Notamacropus eugenii: one gene and its partner. The protein of the gene in region 1 binds, or shares a complex with, the protein of each later gene. Links are inferred from orthologs where the notes say so. Each region holds a gene or a part of one and is shown on either strand. Other genes may lie near its edges. The genes, in order: FLT3 and FLT3LG.

Region 1 (3,908 bases):
AAATAGGATGATACCCCATCTACCAAAGACAGGTTCTGGTTGCACACAAAAATTGAGATATAAACAATATAAAATGATGGATTAGAATGATCTTCTGGTATTCCACAGTAAATAAAATATTCTTGGACTAGATAACCTTTAGAGATATCTTCCAACTTGAACTTTTATGGTTTTCCATTTTACAGTTGAGGAAACTGAGGCAAATAAAGGTTAAGTGACTTGCCCAGAGTTACATAACTATTAAGTGTCTAAGACTGGATTTCAACTCATTTTTACTTTGTAAAAGCAAAACATGGCCAATTAATTTATTCAAGGAAAAATTTCTATAAATGGCTTATTCCCAAGAATTATAAACAGTCTCCAAATCTTTTTAATGCATTGGTCAGATCACATCATTCCCTAGATCAAAGACTCTCAGCAGCTCACTACTACCTACCTACTCAATCTTAGTACTGTGGAAAGGAAAGCAGTCAAAAGACTTATATGGGAGTCCTAGTTCTGCCTTATACTACTTGGATGACCTTAAGCAAATCACTATTTTTCTGAGCCTCAGTTTCTTTATTTATAAAATGAGGATCTCAATGATCTAAGGTCCCTTTTAGCTCTAATATTCTGCTATCCTGTATATAAAATATAAATTCCAATTTGGCTACAATTTGCCTTATAGTTTTATGTACCTTTTCCATATCTCCAACTATGGAAATCCTTCTCCTTCAAGGCCCCAGACCAAAATCAAGTATCACACGCTTCCTCATTTCTCTTTCTGACTGCTCACATTCCGAGGCCAGAGTTCAACTACACATAATTCTTCCTTTCTTAAATCACAGTCCATTCCATTATGCACTTAATCATTTTTCTAACTTCAGTCTTTGTGCATATCTTACTACCCTTCTTCCCAATTAGATTTTAAGGTCCTTGAGAACAAAGGCTACTATTTTGAACCCCCACAAAGTGATCACAAAGGCTGGCATGTAGTAGTAGTAGTAGTGGTGGTGGTGGTGGTAGTGATACTGGTAGTAGTAGTAGTAGCTGTTGTTATTGTCAATTGGTCTGGACTTATGATTTTATTGATATGGCTAAATCCCAGTGTGCAAATTCCATCCATCTATGCAGATTGGCAATTCATCTCTAATTTAATAGTTTTTTTTAAGAGAATTTTCTGGGACATTAAGAAGTTAAGTGACTTTCCCATGGTTACACAATTACTATAAGTCAGAGACAGGACTGCAACAAATGCTTTCTGATAACAAATGCTCTTTGCACTATATAAGAATTGAGTAGATAGAGCTTCTGAGTAAAACAAACCCCTTGTCCACTCTACAACACAACGGCTTAATAATCACTTAGCATTTGTTGACTTGAATCCAGATGTTCTGGAATAATTAATTCATCTCACTCCCAAGAAGCATTTTAATGCAGCAAATCTTTTATTGAACAGGGTGGGGCCCCCAGTAAGCTTTGAGGGCAGAGTTAGTCAGTAGCTCTCTTCCTTTCTCTAGGGTCTCAACCTGAGTTTTTAACTGCTGAGGTTTGGGATAGATTGGAAAAAGATTTTGGTAGATTTTCACAGTTTTCTGAGGAAAGTGACAGAAACAAAGTTGGGGGGGGGGGGGGTGTTTCGAAATACAGACCTCAAGGTCATTAAAAGAAGCTTTCATCTAAAACCTGTATTTTAAAGCTGCAAAAAACTTTGGAAATGGTCTAGTCTAGTCCAACATCCTTACTTTACAGATGAGGAAATTGAGATCCAGAAAAATTAAGAGATTAACAGTCAGATAGAAGAAGATTCAAAACCAACTCCAAACCCTTTCCATTACAGCTGCTTCACCTAGCTCGAGTAAAACTACTGATATTTGGAGAAACAATAATTTAGTACTTAAATTATAATTGTATACTTTTAAATTTCTATTTAAACAAAGTGTTTTCACTGTCTGATAATTGTTTTTCGAATCTTTTTTTTTTTTTGGAAGAATTTTTTGGTCAGGGTGAAAGAGTGCTGAGAGCGTGTTTTCCCCCACAGTTCGTTCCATTACCAAAACCATCAGGGAGAGACGGATGCCCCTGCGCACCTCCCCGTTGTACTCTCCCATGAAGTCCACAACTAAACCATCAGCTGCCAGCTCACCCCAACCTCGGAGTCCGATTTCTCCCATCAGACCCCGGACGCCAAACTCCCGCGGCCACACAGTGCCCCCAGGCGGGTATGGACCCGGGAGAAATGGGAGTTTCTCTGGGGACTGACGGGGGATGGGGGGAGTTCAACGGGACGAGACTTGAGAAGAGATGGCCGGGAAACAGAGTACGCCGTTTAGGGATGGAAGAAAGAGCAAGAGGCGTGAGTTCCAGAGGAAGGAAAAGGAATGAACGAAAGCGAAAAGCAAGAAACGGAGGAAAAGTTCGAAGCGATTGGAGGGGGAAGGAGAAGGCCGGATGAGGAGGGTCAGATGAAAAAGAGGAGGGGCAAGGAAGACGCCAGAAAATCGGGGAAGAAAGGAAGGCAAAGGAGTGGTGCAAAGCGATTGAAAGAGAGCGCAAAATGGAGCTGGAGAGAGAGTGCGCATGGGACTGGGGAGGCAGGCAAAAAGTGGGCAGGAGGGAAAGAAAGGAGAGCCAGCGGCGGTGGAGCGAAGGAAGGAGGGAGCGCGAAGGAAGGAGGCTGAGACCGTGGCTCTGCTAGGGGAGGTCCTTACCAAGTAGTCGGAGCTGGCCGCGGCCGCCGTGGAGCCCGAACACCAGCATGGCCTCCCGTGCCACAGGGGTCCCCCAGGCCGGCGGCTGCGGGCCCGCAGCCCGCAGATCCCTCCCCAGTCTGGCGCGCCAAGCGCTGCAGGTGGCTCTTAAGGCTGCGCGTCACCAACCACAAATTCCCTCGTAACTGCTGCAAAGAAGAGGAGTGGGGGAAACCCTGCTGTACTGGTGCTTCTTGTAAGGACCGCGTGCAGAGCCCAGGGGCTGGACCAGGAGGGATGCAGCTGGAGTTGAGAGTTGGAAATACTTTGCTGGGGGAAGTGTCCGACCTGCCCGGCAGAGCCCCAAGTGCAAAGAAAGTGGCGCTGGCATGGGGAGACTGTGGGCGCGGCTTTAAAGTTTGCATACTTATATACAGTATCCCAGATGCGCCTCATAACCACTCTATGACAGGTATCGATTATCCCCATTTTGAGAAAATCGAGACTCATAGAGGCAAAGGGACTTGCCAGTGGTCATACAGAGAATACCAAAGGCAGGATTTGAAACTAGATCTTTCTGACTTCGAATCCATCACTATACATTAATACTACTATTTCTGGTTTCTCTGTAAAGGAGCTGGTACTTTCGTGGTGGGCCACGAAGTGAATGTTTAGCCTATCATGATGGAGTTGGAGTCAGGGAAACCCAGGTCTAAATCGTATTCTGATACTTATTAACTCTGTAACCATAAGTATTTCTCTGAGACTTTGTTTCCTCACCTTTAAATTATCTATATTATCTACTTCAAAGAGTTGTTGTGAGACTAAAATAATGTGTGTAAAACACTTTTCATTGAAAACTGAAGTGGTGGGGGTTGAAACAATTTGCACAGGATCACACAGGTAGTAAACTTCGCGTGCAGGATTTAAATGCAGGGTCTCTGACTTCAGAGCCTGTGCTCTTTTCACTGTGCCTCTGGGCTGCTAGGAAAAACAGCATTCAAGGAAGACAGCTAAATACAACTAGAAAGGAAAATCTTTGCCCCTTCCCTATAAAATAAAATCATGAGCTGCATACATTCCAAAGTAAATTAGAAACTATGGTTGGGTTATCTATGCTATGCTGTGGGATCAGAAAACTGTAAATTGAATGTGATTTTCTAATTTGTATGAGAATTCAACACACAGTGTAGCAAATAAACACCTGATGTAATTCTGACTCCTCCACTTTGCAGTCGT
Region 2 (3,908 bases), about 180 Mb from region 1:
CAGTGCAGCGATCTCCCATGACATTCACGTGCTTAGTCATGCCTCAACCCATGAGCACTTTGTTTCCAGTTCTTTGCCAATACAAAAAGTGCTGCTACAAATATTTTGGTGTATATCAATGACCTCCCTGGGATATAAGCCCAGTAATGTACTCTCTGGATCAAAGGATATGAACATTTTAGTCACTTTATTTGCATGATTCCGGACTGCTTTCATAAAAAAGTTGTACCATTTGACAGCTTCACCAACAATGTACCAGCGTAGTGTGAAGGGTTTGAAGTGGTAAACAGCAAGGGTTATTTCATCTGTGAAATAATAGGAAGGCAGTCAGTCTGTAGCACCTTCTTTCACCTGCCTCTGTTCCCATTTCCCTTCTCTGACTGCATCTTTTACTCCCTCTCCCAACTTTTTTAGTGAATCTCTGTGTCTGTCTCTCTATGCCATTTCTTCTTCTCCTGTTTCTTCTCTTCCACCAGCTGTCTCTCTGACCCTTTCTCCCTGAATCTTGCCATCCTTATCAGTGCTTGTCTCCCATGTCTCCCTTCTCTCATCCCTGTCCCTCCCGTCTCTCTGAGCCCTGCGTGACTCTGCCTCTTCTTTCCCTGACCCTGTTTCCCTTTCTCCTGTCTCTGCCTCCCTTTGTCCCCACCTGCCTTTCCTCATCACCGTCTGTCCCTGTTTTCCTCTCCCAACATTATCTCCATTCCCCTTGCTTACATCCCTGTCTCTTGTCTTTGTCCCTCCTGGTTGGCCATTGCTGTCTATCTGTCTTCCTTTCTCCTCATTACTGGCAGTCCTACTCCCTCCCCTATCTCAATCTTTTCCCCTATCTCTGCCTCCCATATCCCCGTCTCCATCTGTCAGGAATACGCACAGTGAGGGGCCAGGCTGGGGCTGGGACGGTCATCTTGAGTTGGGCCTTCGCCCTGTGCCTGTTTGGGCACTGTCATTCTGGATTCAAAACCTCAGAGCACCAAGGGTTTTTTAGAGATTCCCCATTCCAACCCTGTCCTTTCTCAGAAGAGGAGAGAGCCTTGGATAGATCTGATAGATCAGGGTTGTAGGGCCTCTGCAGAGGCTACAACCCAGTGCTCCAACCCAGACCTCCAAACTCCCAGCTGATTCAGGCCTAAGAAAGGACCCAGGCGTCCCCTGCCTCCTGCAGCTCAACTCAAAGCCACCAGAGGGCTCCTCCCCCATGGATTCCCAAACTTTTCCCCAAAACATCTTTCACTTTCGATCTCTGATGTCTGGGCCCAGACCTGCCCTGGGCCTTCCCGGCCTGGACAGGGACCCTGGTGCGGGGCTGGGGCAGAATGCCTGGGTCCCAAAGGGGATAGAGGAGGGCAGCCTGGGTCCCCAAGGGGTCTGAGAAAGGAGTGCCTAGGTTCTTGATGGGGCTAAGATAGATTGCCTAGATCTCCATTAGGGTTTTGGGGGGATTGGCTATCTGAGGAGAGAGGATGGGGGAGACGATGCCTGGGTCTCCAAGGGGTTTGAGAAAGGGGGTGCCTGCGTTGCCAAGGGAACTGAGGCAAGGGATGCCTTCCTGGAAGGTTGGGCATGATTCACAGTAATGAGGCGGGGGCAGGAAACAGGGTGGGGGAGGAAACTTAGCCACATGAAGGGGCTGGGGGAGGGCACCCGGACGCCTGGGTCCCTGGCTGAGCCGGCTCTGTCCCCCCCAGGGCCCGGCAGCGGCATGAGGGGCCCCAACTCAAGATGACCGTCCCAGCCCCAGCCTGGCCCCTCACTGTGCGTATTCCTGACAGATGGAGACAGGGATATGGGAGGCAGAGATGGGGGAAAAGACTGAGATAGGGGAGGGAGTAGGACTATCAGTAATGAGGAGAAAGGAAGACAGATAGACAGCAATGGCCAACCAGGAGGGACAAAGACAAGAGACAAGGATGTAAGCAAGGGGAATGGAGATAATGTTGGGAGAGGAAAACAGGGACAGACGGTGATGAGGAAAGGCAGGTGGGGACAAAGGGAGGCAGAGACAGGAGAAAGGGAAACAGGGTCAGGGAAAGAAGAGGCAGAGTCACGCAGGGCTCAGAGAGACAGGAGGGACAGGGATGAGAGAAGGGAGACATGGGAGACAAGCACTGATAGGGATGGCAAGATTCAGGGAGAAAGGGAGGTAAAGGCAGAAGTGGGGAGACAGGACAAAGAGACACAGGGGTGGGGCAAAAGGGCGACGGAGGCGGTCAGAGTCAAGGAGATACATCCAGACAGAATGAGTACTGAATCAATGCCCATCTAGGGGAAGGGACCCAGGGCCTCTCCCCAGCTCTGTCTTCCCAACACCCCAGGCTTCCAGGCTGCTGCTCCTGCTCCTCCTGCTCCCCCAGGAAGTCACTGCCAGTATCGATGATACCTGCACCTTCCCAGACAGTCCCATCAGCTCCACCTTCCTCCAGGCCATCACCGATTTGGTGAGAGCTGCCTCTGACTGCCCTCCCTGACTCTCTGTTTTGGTCTTGAATGTTCTCTCTCTCTGTTTCTGACCCTTTGGATTTATTTCTCATGTCCATCTCTCCCTCCAGTCTGACTACATGCTCACGGATTACCCAGTGGATGTCCCAGATAATCTCCAAGTGGTGAGTCTGGGGGTGAGGCGGGGCGGGGGGCGGGGGAGGGGGGAGGAGAATTAGGGGTGGACCCAGGTATCCCTACTTCAAGGACTAAGACACCTAGGCATCTCTCCCTAGGATGAGCAGTGTTGGGCCCTGTGGCACTTGGCCTTGGCCAAGAAAACCCTGGAGCACCTGAAGCTGGTGGCAGGGAAAAAGTTGGAAGACCCCCTGGAGGCTGTGTACACTGAGGTCAACTTTGTCAGTCAATGCATCAACCAGGTCAGTCTCTTGCTCTCTGTCCCTGATCCTAAGGGCCTTCTGCCTCCTCAAGGTCTTTGGGTCCACCACAGCTATATGAAGAGATGTGGTGGTCTCAGGCCTGGGCAGCTTGGCTGGGAGACAAAGGGATGAGGAGGCCTTCATCAGTTGCCCCAAGCTGCTGCCAGGGCTGGTTCTGAGAAGGGGGGACTAGTATGGTGTGTGACGCCCCCCACCTCCCTTCCTCGGCTCCCCAGTCCTTTCCCAGCTGCCTCCGTTTCCGTAAAGCCAACATCTCTCACCTCCTCCTGGATGTCTCCAGACACTTGGGGGCCCTGCAGCCCCTCATTACTCGCCAGAGCTTCCGGCCCTGCCAACAGTATCGCTGCCAGCCAGGTGAGGTGTCCAGGTGGGAACCCCCTCCCTTCAGGAGGAGGACTGGGGCTCCAAAAGGGAAAGGGCATAGCTTCTCCTTAGTACTCCCCTCTCCCTTCCCACAGAGCCCTCTACTGTCTCCACACTCCCCTCACCGGGCAGTCTTGAGGCCCTGGGAAGCACCCTGAGACCACCCCAGTCCTCTAGCTTCCATCTGCTGTCCCTGGGGGGGCTGCCATTTCTGCTGCTGATCGTGGTGGCTGCCTGGTGGTGCAAACGACGAAAGAGGCGGTTGAGGCCACCAGGATCCCCCAAGTCCCAGACACCCCAGGTGAGCTTGGCTCAACTCGGTGTGGGTGGGGTAGCGGGTGCCCCCCACCATGTGCACAGACAGCAGCTGACTCTGCCCCTGGGGGCCGCGGCTAGGGCCCCCCAGACTCTGTCCGCCAGGATATACAGTTGATGGTGCTTTGAACGACGACCTTGAAGGCCAAACCCGGGAGCTGGGGCTACCTCCTGAGGAAGCCTTCCATAAGCAACCCAGCTTAAGACTGGCCTCATTCTCTTCTCCTTGGATGAGCTCGAGTTACCGTTCTCTTCTGGGGGGCTAAGGGACCCCCCAGGCGGTGCCTGCGGTCCCCTTTTCCTCCTCCAGAGGGGTACCTGCAGGCTACCTTGGGGCCAGCCCACCTTGTG

Evidence for each region.
Region 2: the proteins of FLT3 (region 1) and FLT3LG are in contact, whole or in part, in a crystal structure (PDB 7QDP), measured with the Homo sapiens proteins. The link is inferred for Notamacropus eugenii from reciprocal best matches to the Homo sapiens genes FLT3 and FLT3LG. Residues at the interface, in NP_004110.2 of Homo sapiens: Asp180, His279, Gly280, Phe281, Gly282, Met300, Ser301, Thr302, Tyr303, Asn306, Arg307, Met309, Arg311, Ser333; in NP_001191431.1 of Homo sapiens: His34, Ser35, Pro36, Ile37, Ser38, Ser39, Asp40, Lys44, Lys87, Glu99, Asn102, Thr103, Glu104, His106, Phe107.

Annotation. Positions count from the first base shown.
Region 1 is NC_092876.1:196,313,939-196,317,846, forward strand, and holds the start of FLT3 (receptor-type tyrosine-protein kinase FLT3), read right to left. Parts: upstream 3,040-3,908; 5' UTR 2,740-3,039; coding exon 2,691-2,739; intron 1-2,690. UniProt on the Homo sapiens protein: Tyrosine-protein kinase that acts as a cell-surface receptor for the cytokine FLT3LG and regulates differentiation, proliferation and survival of hematopoietic progenitor cells and of dendritic cells.
Region 2 is NC_092876.1:12,260,258-12,264,165, reverse strand, and holds FLT3LG (fms-related tyrosine kinase 3 ligand), read left to right. Parts: upstream 1-1,215; 5' UTR 1,216-1,298; exon of another isoform or gene 1,299-1,387; intron 1,388-1,492; exon of another isoform or gene 1,493-1,556; intron 1,557-1,688; 5' UTR 1,689-1,722; coding exon 1,723-1,755; intron 1,756-2,315; coding exon 2,316-2,438; intron 2,439-2,549; coding exon 2,550-2,603; intron 2,604-2,714; coding exon 2,715-2,858; intron 2,859-3,094; coding exon 3,095-3,233; intron 3,234-3,337; coding exon 3,338-3,675; downstream 3,676-3,908. UniProt on the Homo sapiens protein: Stimulates the proliferation of early hematopoietic cells by activating FLT3. Synergizes well with a number of other colony stimulating factors and interleukins. Required for the development of B cells, and dendritic cells (DCs).